Stegostoma tigrinum: one gene and its partner. The protein of the gene in region 1 purifies or fractionates together with the protein of each later gene. This does not show direct contact. Links are inferred from orthologs where the notes say so. Each region holds a gene or a part of one and is shown on either strand. Other genes may lie near its edges.

Region 1 (7,988 bases):
ATACATAACGCACTTACTGGCATAATGTGCATTAATTACTCAGATGAAGTACACAAACTACTGAATGGAGCGTTCTGTAACCTGCTCGTGCCAAAAACAAAAGGTGGATTGCACTTAACAGTACAAGGCAGAACTTCCTACACAAAAACCTACACCCAATCATACTGTAACAAATGATAATCCTGGGTGTGAGGCAGTCTCACTGTTGTAATCTCGAACGGAGAAGTAGCAGCTGCACAATTTTTCTAGACTAATGACCTTATAGTCGCAACACTAGCACACAGTCCTACAAACAGAGCGATTAGACGCAGGACAAGTTGTAAATGTGCTGCGCCAGTGACAGCGAATACGAAGGCACCAGGAAAATGTCGCACGTCCCCCCGGGTGGGCAGAAGGCTCCATGGCAATGGAGGGTGCGGGATGCAGGACCTGCCCACCACATGCTCTGTAGTTTGCGGTAGCAGGAAAACCGGCGGCTGTCCCACATCCTTCAAATAAAAACAAAAGAAAACACACACGCACAAACTTTTGCGGAAGGAGCACCAGTAGTTCCAGGCCCAGAGCCAAGCAGAGACGGAACGGGAGCCGCTTCATACTGGCCCAGCCGGGCTAAAGGGCCCGAACTGCCGCCAGTGCCAGGGCAGCGCCGGCACCGGAAGCAGAGGCGCTTTACCTAAGCGTCGGGCCCACGCAGGCCGCGTCCGTGCTTTCGATCTCTTGCAGGATCCGCTCATGTTCTGTCACCGTCTCCAGGGCCTCGGTGTCTGCCATCTTAGCGGCCCCGGCTGTGGAGGCGAGGCAAGGCCGTGGGCGAAGGCAGCAGTGTTACTGCGGTTAACAGCGGTTCATGGCCCTGGTTTGCTGGCGGCGGCGGGGTGGCTGTGTGCTCGGTTTTGCTAGCGGCTGCTCTACTAATGTCAAACGGGAACCCGTCGCTGGCAAACCCGCTTCCGGGCCTGCTTTTATTCCACCGCCGTTTTCATTTGCCTGCCCATCCCCGACAGTGACCGGTCAGCGCGCTCCCGACGGCGCGCGGGAACGCGCGCGCGCGCCTATGCCCGACTTTACCTGCGGCAAATCGTAACCTGTCTGGTGTGATATAGAAAAATGTCCATTTTATTTCGCTTTAAATCGTCAACGTTTACTGACGCGCGGCCTCTTGCAAGTTACATTCGAGTACTGGGTGGTAGTAACTTTTATTTAAGCTGCTCGAAAGCCAAACAGGAGCTTTAGCTTTCCTTTCGTGTTCGAGTCTCGAACAGCACGGGGCTGATATCAGGTTGGTGGTAAAGCGCTTCAAATGAGAACGAGTGGGCCCTTCGTATTGTTTGTGGAAGGCTCTGAAGAGTGCAACTGCACACAGTCCCATTGTGCAAACCCCACTTAACTAATTTCTGAATTCCGGGACTGAGCTTGTACTGCAGAATACAAACAAGTTGTGATGCTTTTAGCCAGGCTTCAGTAACAGAAGCTAGACAAGTATGCTAAAAGCATTAAGAGTAGCAGATTCAGTAGAATTGCGGCTGTGGGAAGTAGCGTTCCCTCGTGGACAGAAAGCTATTTACCGCAAATGCCAGATTGCAAGCGTTTGACTACATCCACGCAGACATGTCACAGACAGCTGAGCACGACTGTGCCAGTCGAAGTGGCATCATTTCTTTGTCAGCATTTTCCAGGTTCTGATCTTTAAAACGTCACCGAAAAAGAGGAGAACTGCAGGCATTCCCCTGTCAAGCTAGTTCTTGACCAAAAAAAGGGAGCATTGGACAGTGTTTGGTTCCATACTAAAATTTCTTATTGGCTGACAGAAAACCCGCGGTGAGAACACATTGGTTTCCCGTTCACCAAAAGCCAAGAGACGTTTCTTAGCAGGAACATAGTGTATTTTAAAAAACATGAGCGCAGTTAACTAGGAGTGGAAACTCACAATGGATATACAGTAGGTAAACTCCTGGGTCAAAATCCACCTCATTAATTAAAAATGCAAATTTAAGACGACCGAAAAGAAGTGTTAAACTGCGCGGCAAAGATACTTGCTCGCACGGGCATAAAAAGGTCATAGGTGGAAAAACTAAGCGTAATCACGCTCGTGACTTTGCTCATTACCTGATACTATTACAGGTCAGTGAAATATTTACAATTTAGAACTCAATTCAACACAAACTGAACTGCTATGCAAATTAGAGCAAGGCACAAAGTAATTGCTATGAAGTAGTTGTCAGCAGCGAACGCAGGAGATAATGGCGCAAAACTAACTTTTAAAGATTAACAAAGAAAACACTACAGATTCTGTAGTATTGTAGAAACTCGAGAGGTCTCGCAACATCTGTTGCCAGTTTTCTTTTAAAAAATGTTTCAAACCTAATTTTACTAGCTCGGAGCCATGTCGTATTTCACAGACACCTCTAAGCCTGGCTAGAGCCCCCGAACTACTTTTTTAAAAAAGTGTAATAGAAGTATTCGTTATCCAGACGACGATGATTTTCACTTTTAGCTAGTCATTTGTTTTTAAAATGAAGTCATAAAAGATGTACCAATTCACTTTTATCACTCCTTACGAGGCTGTTCGATTCGTAACTGCCTATTTTTACTAGCAACACTCACCAACCTGATCTAGTTTTATAGTCGTGATTACTAAACAAGGCAATTGGAATTTCATTTTGCCCCACAATCAACCGTCCCAAATTAAACCGCTTTACTTCGCTGTTACATTACAAAAGTAGCAGTTGGAAAAGTAAACAGCGAAAAGTCTATTACTTTATAGAGAGCTTAAATAGGACGGTAGAAAGCCAGGTAACCTACCGTAAGCTCGTACCAAGTGGCAACTCCAACGTTTCGATCTCAGAAAAAACATTTTCATAAATTTGGCTTTCACGTTTTTCCTCTTTAGAAGTGATTGAAGTAACTGTTTTGCTGACCCGAGCCATCGTTCCAATGCTTTCGTCCCCGGGTTTTGGAACGAAATTTTCGTAGACTCAACCGAAGGAATGACAACAACAAAAAAAAATTTGCCGACGACAATAATGATCTCGTGATCATAGAGCAATCAGTCTAAATGTAGCTGTTACTATTTTATACAAAAAGACGATCTATGTACAGTATCAACGCAAGAAGTGACTGGAGATAACTTATTTATAGCACAGGGCTATTTAAAGACTATCATATTTCACAGTCCCTCCGATTAACCTGTTATAACACCAACGGGACGACTTTTACTTTCCTTACAACACATTTGAAAAACGCTCCTCTCTCATCGTTTTATAGAATAGTAAGTAAGCAAGATACAGGATTCCCCAGTGTCGTCACAATGGTCTAATATAACAATTAAGAAGAAACTAACAATTAAGAGACTATTTCTCCAGGAAAATACTTCCGGATATTGAAACCTGTCAGCGACTTATTCTTCAAATTGCATTGGGAATGACTCGGTTGATCATTGTAGAAATCACCATCACGTTTCACAAACTCGTTTTTAGCCTAAAATTCTGTCTGTGTATTGGGAGGCTTATGACGGAGTTAGAGCTGTGAAATTATGACGAATTGTGATACATCTTATTGTATACCATGTGTCAAAGAGAAAGGAAGCATTACGTTTATATAGTGCCCCAGTCACCACTTATTAACCGTTTTCACAATGTTGCCTCATTAGTAATGCAGGTGCAACTTGAACAAGCTGGTCCCACAGACAACGATGTGACAATGACCGTATAACCTATTTTAGTGATGTTTGTCTGATAAGTAGTGAACTTGCAGCTTTGGATCAAGTCTCGTTGAAAGTCTTATGCCCAGTCGGCATCTCTGACAGCCCAGCCTTCTACCAGTACCGCATCTGAGCGTTAGCCTTGATTTTGGATAAATTCTCAGAGGTGGAACTTGAACGTTCACTCTTCTGAATCCCAGTGGAGAGCATTATCACTGAGTCACAGCTGGCATAGATAAGGATATAAACCTACACAATTTCCCATTGTGCAATAAGACAAGCTGCTTCCTAATGATTGCTCTTACAATGCCAGTTTTATATTCACACAGAAGTTTTGATTCTGATTTTATTGTCACCTGTACTGAAATACAGTGAAAAACTTTGATTAGGAGTGGTACAGACAGATCACAACAAGCAAAGGATATATATATCAAAAATAGTTAGAGGCATACAGGTTACATTATTTGAGGCTAGATTCCATTCAACAATTTGATAATGGCTGGAAAGAAGCTGTTCCCGAACCTGCTTGTGTGTGTGTGTGTGTGTGTGTTCAGGATTCTACATCTTCTGCCTCACGCAAGAGATTGTAGGAGGTCATTACCAGGGTGCAATGGGTTTTTGATAATGTTGCTTGTTCCGTGGCAGCATGCCATGTAAATTAAGTCCACGGATGGAAGGTTGCCCTACATGATGGTTTGGGCTGTGCACACAACCTTCTGCAGTTTCTTAAGGTCCTAGGCAGAGCAGTTGCTATACCAGGCCATTTTGTACCTGGACAGTACACCTTCAATGGTGCATCTGTGGAAGTTGGCGAGGGACCTTATGGATGTGCCAAATTTCCTGAGCCATCTGAGGTGGAAGAGGCATTGTCATGCCTTCTTGACTGTCACATTTATGTGGGAACCCAGGGTTGTCGGGTATCATCACTCCAAGGAACTTGATGCTCTTCACTCTCTCAACCTCAATTCTGTTGATGTAGATGGGGGCATGTTCTCCTCCTTTCTTGTTGTAGTCGATGATCAGTTCTTTAGTTTCCCTCACGTTGAAAAACAGATTATTTTCATTGCACTAGGTCACCAATCCCCTTCTTTTTCATCAGCTTTTCTGATGAAGGGTCTAGGCCTGAAACGTCAGCTTTTGTGCGAGGAAAATGCTGCTTGGCCTGCTGTGTTCATCCAGCTCCACACTTTGTTATATCACCAATCCCCTCTACCTCCTTTCTGTATTTTGACTCGTCATTGTTACATATGCATCTGACTATGGTGGTGTCGTCAGCGAACTTGTAGATGGCGTTTGTTCAGAATTTGGCGACACCATTGCGGGTGTACAGGGAGTACAGTGGGTGGCTGAAGATGCTTCCATGGGGGGGGGCGCCCCAGTGTTGAGTGTTATTGTGGAGGAGATGCAGTTACCTATCCTCACTGAGTGCAGCCTATGGGTCAGAATGCAGAGTCGAGACTGAGGTCACACAGTTTTGAGGTCAATCTGGAGGGGGGCTGTAGTCAATAAGCAGGAGTCTGAAGTAGGTGACTTTGATGTCCATAATGTTTCAGGGATGCTGCAGGGCTACGGCATCCTAAGTGTGGAGTAAAATGCTAGAGACAGATCTTGATCTAACTCTGAGTGTCCTTTAAGATGGTAAGGTGAGATTGCCTTCTATGAACTTGGCAATATGAAAAACATAACTCTGATGTGGGCAGATTTGAAATTTGCTTTCTGGGCACATTTTATAACCTTAGTCAGTTTTCAGTGTTACCAGAAAAGCTTCCTCCACCCATAGTCTCCTTTCAGTGCAAGGTAACTCTTAAAATAAAATGTCACATATCCTGAAAAGTTAAAACTATAACAAAAAATGCTGGAAATATTCAAAAGTCAGGTCAGTATTTCTTTCGGCATTTTACTTTATATTATTGTTAGTAGCTGCGGGATAAGCAAAACTCATCATATACATAAACATATATAAGCAATGCCTTTTCTATTCAGCAGTGTGATTTTAAATCTGTTCTTTCAGTCTTTCTGCTTTTTATTTGCATTTAAAGCATCTAGTTTCAGACGAGAAATCTAGTAGAGTTGCAGCCACTGTTTTGAGGTAGATAGTGCAATTTGAGAAAGTGTTATCCCAGGGAAGCACGTTACCAGAATGTCAGCATGTTTGCAGTACAGCAGTAAAATATATCTTTTATTGCTTTAATTAATGTTTGAGGAATTTATTTCTCATAGGCAATTTCATTTTATAATTGTTATTGCCTGGGATTCTGTTGTGTAAAGAATTCTGTTTGGTTTTCCAGAAATTTAGCAATTCATAATACAATATAACATCTGGGTGATGGGTCTTTCTGTAGTTCAACAACAAGATATAGACTCTCTTCTCTGGGTGAGCTTCTTCTCCGTGACCATGAGTAATGATTCCTGGCCGTGTGGTGTCTTTCATCGGCCTTCAGTGGCAACATCTGCTGTGCTGTATAGAATGGAATTGCAAAATGACATTCTCTCTGGAGAGATAAAAAAAGACATTATGCAAACTGTTATCGTTGTGTACAAGTACTGTGTATAGCTGGATTTAACATTTTGAAAGAGTTGTAAAAGCAAGCACAGTTTAACTGCGGACTGCAAAAAACAAGGCTTTTACATGTAAGTTAGAAATCTTAAGGATATTTTTGGTCTTTATCACAAACCACCATTATGGGGTCTAATGCTTTTCCAATCATTTTGATGAGCTCTTAAGGGGTGACAAACATACCATTTAAAGGATATGTTGTGGTGATGACAGAAAAGGGGACAATTTGTTTACAACAGTTCAGAGCAGACATGAGCATAACGTTGTTGTCTGTAATACTAAGTAACTCCTACTGCAAGCTGCATGGCAGGATGTGGATGATCAAGTCACTGCAGCTACTCATTGCCATTTCAACATAGCTGCAGATAAGAAAGAAGTTTGCTGAAATAAAACAAAACTGCTGGTGCTGAAGATCTGAAACAAATACAGAAGTTGCTGGAGAAAAAACAGATCTGGCAACATTGTAGAGGTTACTGTTGTACATAATGGAAAGCTGGGCTGGACATGTTGCTTCAGTGGAGGAGGCTCAAATGGAAATATGATGTTTAAGCTTCCAACTCTGGCTTTTAAACAATTACTTTCCATGGAATCAGCAGCCACCAATACTTAGATAAGCCTTTCTTCTTCAATTATCTGCTGAAACACAGGAGAATACTCGCAAGCTCTATCACAAGTAGGGCAAGGAGACAGATCTCAAAAACACCCCAGTCTGACTGGGGAAGGAATTTTTTTTGAACTTGTTGTCAGTTGGTTTACACTATTACTTTTCAAGCAGTGGGGAGGTGAGATAAGATGGTATGGAGCTAGGATCGGCTAGCATCAGATAGCTAACTGATTTGTGCAATTGTGATCAGCTGTGAAAATCAGTCTGAAGACAGCTGTTTGTGTGTGTAGGTATGTGTATCTCAGAGACACATAAGGTCTCTAGACTGGAAGAAGGAGGGATAACCTCGCTATCTTTGCAGCAAGTAAGTCAAACCTGAAGACAGTAATTCTGTCCACTGTTAGCTTTGAGGTGCTGCCTCTCAATAAAGACAGTGAAATTGAATAATTACTGCATAAATTTCCTTTGCCTTTGCCAAAGAGCTAAAAATCAGGAAGTAAGGACTACGCAGAATAGAGGTCTTGGGAATAAAAAGGAACACCTCATCAAAACCTGTGATTGATGCTATTGAATTGTGATTTTCCACTACCTGTAACATCATTATCTAGGCCCGAAACGTCAGCTTTTGTGCTCCTGAGATGCTGTTTGGCCTGCTGTGTTCATCCAGCTTCACACTTTGTTATCTTGGATTCTCCAGCATCTGCAGTTCCCATTATCTCTGAACACCATTATCTTTGTCTGTTTGCATGTGTGTTGGCATTTTAAGTAGGGTGAATGGTTTAACTACTGGAGTGATATGTTGATAGATCATAGCTATTTGCCTCTGCTTAGAATTTATGTATTTGTAACAAATAGTAATTCTTCTTAGATGAGGAAATCTGTTCGGAGTTTTCTTTTAATCTGAGTCCATCAGATAGGTAAGTTGGAGACTTTGTATACTTTGATGGAATCTTTAACTTTTGCGACTACCTTGGGATTTCTGGTTCTCAAGTATCAACAGATTTTTCTAAATGTGTTGTAACAATCACAATACATACTCTCAGACATGTACTTGGCTAGGAAATGTATAAAACACAAAGCCTAAACCTATTAGGGATAAAAGCTTGAAAATCTTTCTTTGGCCTCTC
Region 2 (7,126 bases), on another chromosome or scaffold:
GGGGACATGTTGGTTGAAAACAGACTTGGTCAGGACGGTGACACTATGTTAGAGTAGCATCAATGCATACTTTAAGATATAATGCCCTGTTTCTGCGTTCAACATGCCATGACTCTATGAAACAGCGGTCTCCGCATGTTTTAGTCGTTGCTGAAATAGATGTACTTCCCTGTGACTTAAAAGGCTGAAACTCTTTTTAAGTGTTCCATAATTCTGAGAAGTTTTAAAAAAAAACCCAGTTTTGGCATTTAGAATTCAAATGTAATCTTCCTATGCTGAATTCTGATCAGCTGAACAGCAAAGACTTTCTCATCAAGTTCAATTGTTCTTGCATAGCGGTGTTCTGATTAAAACAAATACCAATACTGCCACAAGTGCTTTTACTAGTGGAATACAACAGGACACAAAAATACAGGACAGGTGAAATTGAAATTGGCAGCTCACATCTACTGGAGAACATTGATCTTCATGTTGTATATTTATTAAGGTAGCGAGTTCATGATGAGTCCCACAAACAATGTTTATGCAGCATTAGTGTTGAAGCAATTAATAAAAAAAAAGTGTATGCTTGTGCAGGGAATGTCTGCAATCATTGGTTTATCTGTAAGTGCTCCTAGAGTTTATACAAATGAATTAGTGCTTTCTGGATTGACACGAATGATTCGAGATCCATTGCGGAGATCCTGGAGCTGCTTGGCTGGTGTTCCAACTCCTTCCTCAAACCGTCTCTCCACCACAGGGAGCACAGTCTCATACAGGAATGAAACATTCTCACGAATGAAGACTTTCTTTTCTGGGTCCTGCTCACAGCGCAGGCTGTAGTCAACATGCTGCACTGCCACCAGGATGATCTCACGCAGGCTTTCCAAAAGGACCATGTGCAGCTCAGGGAAGTATAGCTTCAGCCCTTCCTCCAAGAAGGCCATCAGCTGTTTTGTGAAGGCCACAATGGTGTAGCTGAGATTGACCCAGCAGTCATCTCCAGTGTACTGATCAAAATTGGTGATTCCACTGGCTTTCATCTCCTCCTTCAATTTTGCCAAGGCCTCCGGTGTCATCAAGTTCATTCTTCGCCACATCTCTTCTGAATTTCTGTGCTTGGTGGCCTCCATGATGATGCCCTTGTAGCTGTGCAGGGCTGCCTTAATATCTTTGACGAGCAGTGCCTGAAGAGTAAAGGTGAGGTCCAGGCCGATCTCACTGAGCTTGCTGCAGTGTTCTTTGGCCACCTCCACGCACTCAGCTGTGGTGGACAGGCTCTCCTTGCTGTCAAATACCTGCTTGCTGAAGGCATCCACAAACAGCCGGGTGGCTGAGCGTGACCACACCACAAAGGCCGAGTAACAGCCACTGTCACCAGCAAAATCCATCTCAAATTCCTTGGCCGTGTCCAGCAGGCCAGTGAAGAAGATGTTGCAGAGTTTGTGGATGTACAGCAGGGTAGCTCCCTCGATGCGCAGCTGCCTGATTGCTGTCTGCACTGCAGCTGCCCGGTTCTTCAGGAAGAGCTCGCAGGCTTTAGTGGACTGACCCAGCCGGATCAGCTGAGAAACAGCACGGCGGGTTGCCCGTGGACCACCTCGGAGCGAGCGGCCAGGGGATAGCTCATACATCAGCACATCAGTCAGACGGCGGACCCGCTGATCCACACGACTCCTCAGCTGGCGCACCGCGGGCTGGCTGGTTGCTCTACTCAGGTACTCGTTCAATTTGTCCAGTAAGTCAACAGCGCCTTCAAAGTCCCGCTGAGCAATACAGACATCCAGGTCTTCGGGCAGCTCTTGAATCCATTCCAGGCTCAGGTCCACCAACTCCATGGCTGGATCAGACTCATCCTCAAATGGGTTAGTTTTCGGTGACAGAGGCCTCTGTTGCTTCTCTTCCTCGGCCACCAGCAGCCGGGCCTTGGCTTCCTCTTTCTCCACCTCCAAGCGCTCAGTCAGGGCCTTGTTCTTCTTGGTTTGGTCCAGGATCTCCAGCCACTCCTTCTTGACCTTGGCGTTCTCGGCCTGGAAGACCCGCGTGTCGGGGAACATGAGGATCTTGAACATGTCCCGCATGGGCCCGTTGTCCTTGACATTGACCACGGCGAAGCTATCCAGTGGATACAGGGCGTCGTAGCGGTAGCGAACAGCCCCGCGGCGGCTGGGCAGCCAGGCAGCCACCAGCAGGCAGTCGTTCATCAGGAAAGCGTGCACCCTCTGGATCTGAGCTGCGCTCTCGGCATCGCACTCAAGCAGGTCACCGTTGTAGACCAGGTAGCGGCCCGGGGTTTGCAGGATGTCCTGGCAGCCTTCCACCTTCTCCAGCAGGGTGGTGAGGGTGCGCTGCTTGTGCTCCTCGGCCTCCCGGGGCAGGATAAGGAAGGCTTCGGAGGAGGAGGAGGTGGAGGTGGTGGTGGTGGTGGTGGTAGTTGTGGTGGAGGAGCCGAGAGAGGACGATGAGGTCCCGCCAGCCGTGCCCATGGAGGCTTGCAGCTGGCGGGATCCCTGTTGCTGCTGCTGTTCCCTGTCGGCGGTCAGCAGCATCTGGGTCAGGCCGTCCATGATCCCCTTCTGCTCGGTGAGGATGTGACTGAGCTGGTACATCTCACTCTCCAGGTAGGAGATCTCCCGGGCCGTCTCGATAAATTGCCGGTAGTTCTTGTAGACATTCTTCTTCAGGTTCTGTGCCGTCTCATCGGCCAGGCTCTGGATCTTGTGTCGGTGCTCCTGCAGGTCGCGGTCACCATCTGACTGCTGCGACAGCTGCTTCACGTACTGGGCCGGCTCGAAGCGGGGGGTTTCCAGCTGCCGCCGGAGCCTGGAGGCCACGTCCGCCGCCATCTTGCCGCCGCCGGTGGGAGGTTGATTTAGCCACCCCACCACAATATATACCGCCCTCGGGTTTTTCACAACTGCTCCCGTCCGGCCTCCACGCTCGGGGGCCCTGCTCTCTGCGTCAGGTCGCTCCTCCAAACGACTACCGAGGCCTGGGCTCCGCCGCTCATCTGCAGCCTCCAATTGGCTGGCCGTCAGCAACGACCCGCAGTCCCATTGGTCACACTGCGCCAATACTGACTTCTGACTGGTGCGCCGCCAGCAGTAATCCGCTCTCCTATTGGCCACGCTGTGGCGGTTCCGGCGTCCGATTGGTTGCCGTGCTCCCCGTGACCCGCAGTCCCATTCGTCGCTCTGACAGCTGTCTAGATCATGATTGGCTGTCTGTCTTTAATTGTGCGCTTGCATGAGGAAGAGTCACCGGAACTCTGATCTTTTTCTTCACAGATGACCAGACCTGCTGAGCTTTTTTTTGTGCTTGGCTGTTGATTTGCTTCTCCAATGCTGACTTTGCATTGGTTAACGTTGGTAGTCCCATTCTGATTTGTCATTGGGTGGCCCGTGGTATCATCCTGCGCTGCCATTGGCTGTTATGTTTGCGGCTCCATCATGTGATTCGCCAAGTAAAGGGAGAGGCCCTACCTCCGTTTGTCTACGTCAGTTGGGTGGTTGCAGGAGGCGGTGCTGAGCGGTATGGATGGTGATTTGTTGTTGGCGCTTCAGTTGCAGGCCTCCTGGGACGAGGAGGACCGTAGCGATGCCAGCTCGAGCCCTGGTATGGTCCCGCAGCCTCCGGCGTCTCTGTCCGTGGTGGACCCGGATTGGGAGCTGATCGACCCGAACCCCGACCTGCACGGCCTCTTCCTGCAGTTTAATGACTTGTATTTCTGGGGCCGGCTGTCCGGGGTGGAGGTTCGCTGGAGCCCGCGGATGACTCTGTGAGTTGTGGATAGGCCGCGGCTTCACCGCGGTTTGCTGAAAGGGGAGTCGGTGCTTCCCGCGATATCCCACTCCCCTGTCTCCTTGTTGAAGCCGGTCAACAAAACTTAGCGTCAATATCCAATCCAGAAGACTACGGCACAAATAATAGCTGACTCTGAGAACTGCAGATGCTGGAGTCGGAGATAAAACAGTGTGGAGCTGGAGGAGCACAGCAGGTCAGGCAACACCAGAAAAGCAGGGGCCGAAATGGCATCTTGCCTGCTCTTCTGATGCTGCAGTGCTCCTCCACCTCCACTCTGTTATCTCTACAAATAATAGCTGTACTTTTTTCTTGCATGTGCTGAAAAGACCTGCTCATTGAAGGAGGGAATCTGGAATCTTGAATCTCAATTTTTGCCATCTTTTCCTTTACAAAAAAATCGCTCTAAACAAAGTTGGATAGACTTGACAATGCACTTTTGACATCTGCATTAAATCTTCACTCTTGTTGATTGTTTGTGCTACTTGCTGTTTCTCATGCTGAATAAATTGAGCTTACCTACTGTGGATCTGTTACAGTTGTGCGGGTGTGTGCAGCTATGAGGGCAGAGGAGGATTGTGTTCTATACGTATCAGTGAACCTTTGCTGAAACTGCGACCCAGGCGAGACTTGGTTGAGGTATGTGCTGATTGTGTCAATACTGTGACCTCTGGTATTTCCTTCCTACAAGAAGTAGGCTGGTGTGCTGATAAAATTCTGATTTCACTTCAGACTTAACTTCAAACATTATTTGCAGCCTCTGTTCTGGCATTAAGTGTGCCTGGTCAATTGAGTCTACTCTACAAGTAGGCAGTTCAGCCTGTTAACATACTCTGTAATTTAGTTAGCCTGTGACTGTGTTCTCTTTGCAACACTTTTTTTTAGAAATTGTGGCTGGTGAATCTGTGGTCCTAACTGCACTGATCTCCCCCAGGTTAGGAATTTCTTCTGCAAGGATGCTTCTGTGGAACATGATCCTTTCTTCAGGATAGTGTTAATGATGGAAGGTCCATATACTTCCCACCCTCCTTGCATTGTAATAAGTTCAAGGCTGCTCCCTCTGTTGAAAGTTTTTATAGTTCTGAAATTCCAAGGGTATCAGGTTTGCATTACCTCAGAAATCACTGATGTAGTGACAGTAACGTGTTCTCTGCTAAGGTGGTAGATTTCCATATTGTAACTTCAGATAAATGACTGATGCAGAGGGACATCTGAAGAAAATGAATTTAAAAATCTATGAACGTAAACTATTTTTCTTGCTGTCTGGCTACTTGTCCCACATGTCCATTTATCCTATAAATTGACATTTTTGAGGATAACTGGTGGGGTTAAGCTGCACAGCTTCTGCTTAGCAAAAGCTTTTTTGATTTTGACTGAGGTGTCTGTCTAGCTTGTTTGAGCTGGCTGAAATGAAAATATTTTAGCGATGAAGCAAACTATGTATTTATTGGAAACACAAGCCAAAGGGCCACAGATGCTGGAAAGCCAAAACAGACTCTTGTTTACAATAATAACAAACCAGAAATTACAGTAGAAACTCAGCAGGTCTGGTAGTTTTGAAAGATGGGTCACTGGACTTGAAACTTTGATTCTGCTTTCTCTCCAGATGTCACTGGACCTATGTTTCTTCAAGTTGTTTGTGTTATTGAAAACACAAATCTGTTCAGATTTCCAGCATTTGCAGTTTTTATTTTTATTATATTTTTATTGGAGTTTGGGGATGAAAGTGATGCTTCCCTGTGCAAACATGAAAAGCCTGATAACTTGAAGAAAACTTCTTTTTAGTAACTCTACCATTTGTAGAGAGGATTTCTATCTTTTCTGCAATCCCTCAGTCATGCTGCTTATCCTTCCATAACCAGGAAGAGGTGCATCCCAGATAACTGGAATCACAGAAGCAACTAAATCAGTCTTAACCGGAAGTAATGAAAGTATCTTGCATCAAATCCTAGCTGAATTTCACTTGCTACACACAGTGGAGCACTCTGCTAGTGAAGAGGATAATTGTACAGGGTTTCAAACTTACAACAGGTCGGAGCAAAAAAGTGGTTACATTTGGAAAGGTAGTACGATGAATATTTAGCGAATTCAGTTGCAAGTATGCCTGGTGTAATCTCTGGGAGACTTCAAAAGCTGAAGTAGAACTCCCAGTCAGTAATAGTGAGGCAAATCTCAAATTTGGCCATGACTACTTTTTTGTTTGGACCTTAACTACTTTTAGTCTCAAAAACTATGGATTTTTAACTTGATAAAGTGGGGCATTTTTATTTTAAAGTGAGCATCTTTTATACCTCAGATGTACATACAGATTTCATGCAGTTTGAGCTTTTTAAATGGTTGTATTGGCATCCATTGAAGGCAGTTTGCATCAATATTGGTTTCTTTCCAGCTTGCTCCAGGCCAAATAACCATCTTAAATCCAAATTCCCTTGGAGCTTTTAGTATATCTTTTTTAACTGCAATCTCAGATAAAACCAGCAAGTCATATCCCTTAAGTAACAGGTTTACTGTATTATTGCAGTCTTAGCAATGTACAAGTAATCAGTTGAGGGTGCAAATGAGATGACTGTCTTAAGGTTGCATCATATTTAAGTAATTTAATTCATTCTGTAATTAAAGTATGTGTGCATACCCATTGCATTATGTTTCTATTACTCAGGTGTGTTTTTACACATTGAGGACCTCTCTTAATTAACTGGAATACTTGAACAATAGATACATCTTATTAAAGAGGTTGACCCCACCCCAGCCTCTGATAACTAACTGAAACCGAAACACCCTAGAGAAGATAGCCTCTCCTCCTCGTTTCTTAGAGCAAGTGTGAAAAGTGATAGTCTGCCTCTCACTGCCCAATCTGTTATAAAGGGGAGGTTAAATGAAATGAGGTCCTGACAGTCTCACTCTAGATCAGCAAGTAACAATTTAACTACTCGAACCATAAACAAATAAACATAACTACTTAGAAACTGAACAATTGTCCCCCCTGAACTAGAAACTATTCCAGGATAAGACAAAATTCTATTGGTATGCTATAGTAAATAGAAGTCCTACACTTATAAATCAAATTTAATTAAAAAGTACTTAATCTCTCAATTTACAACTAGAAATGTCTTCTGGAATGTCTAGTGCCTTCTCCACTGTCCTTCAGTCAGGCGTGCCTTTCCCTGTCAAATTCTTGCCAGGAATATTAGCTGGAAATGTCATAAGTTTAGTCACATGATGGTTTTAGAGAGCTTGGAGAATTCTGAAAGCCAGTGTTTTTTCTCCTCTTGGAGCTGCTGGTTGTTAACTTTGAACAGATGGCAGCTGCTCACATACCAGTTTTTCAAATGATCTTTTCTTGTAT

The links.
Region 2: the proteins of exocyst complex component 6-like (region 1) and exoc8 purify together in Homo sapiens (affinity purification with mass spectrometry; 4 studies listed by BioGRID and IntAct, counting the BioPlex papers as one, with this or other methods). This does not show direct contact. The link is inferred for Stegostoma tigrinum from reciprocal best matches to the Homo sapiens genes EXOC6 and EXOC8.

The regions. Positions count from the first base shown.
Region 1 is NC_081373.1:42,065,501-42,073,488, reverse strand, and holds the start of exocyst complex component 6-like, read right to left. Parts: upstream 3,049-7,988; 5' UTR 2,928-3,048; coding exon 2,803-2,927; intron 1,039-2,802; exon of another isoform or gene 772-1,038; coding exon of another isoform or gene 674-771; intron 1-673. UniProt on the Homo sapiens protein: Component of the exocyst complex involved in the docking of exocytic vesicles with fusion sites on the plasma membrane.
Region 2 is NC_081357.1:94,381,338-94,388,463, forward strand, and holds exoc8 (exocyst complex component 8), read right to left. Parts: upstream 3,019-7,126; 5' UTR 2,826-3,018; coding exon 621-2,825; 3' UTR 364-620; downstream 1-363. Other genes in the region: DNA-dependent metalloprotease SPRTN, read left to right, coding at 3,513-3,757, 4,320-4,419. UniProt on the Homo sapiens protein: Component of the exocyst complex involved in the docking of exocytic vesicles with fusion sites on the plasma membrane.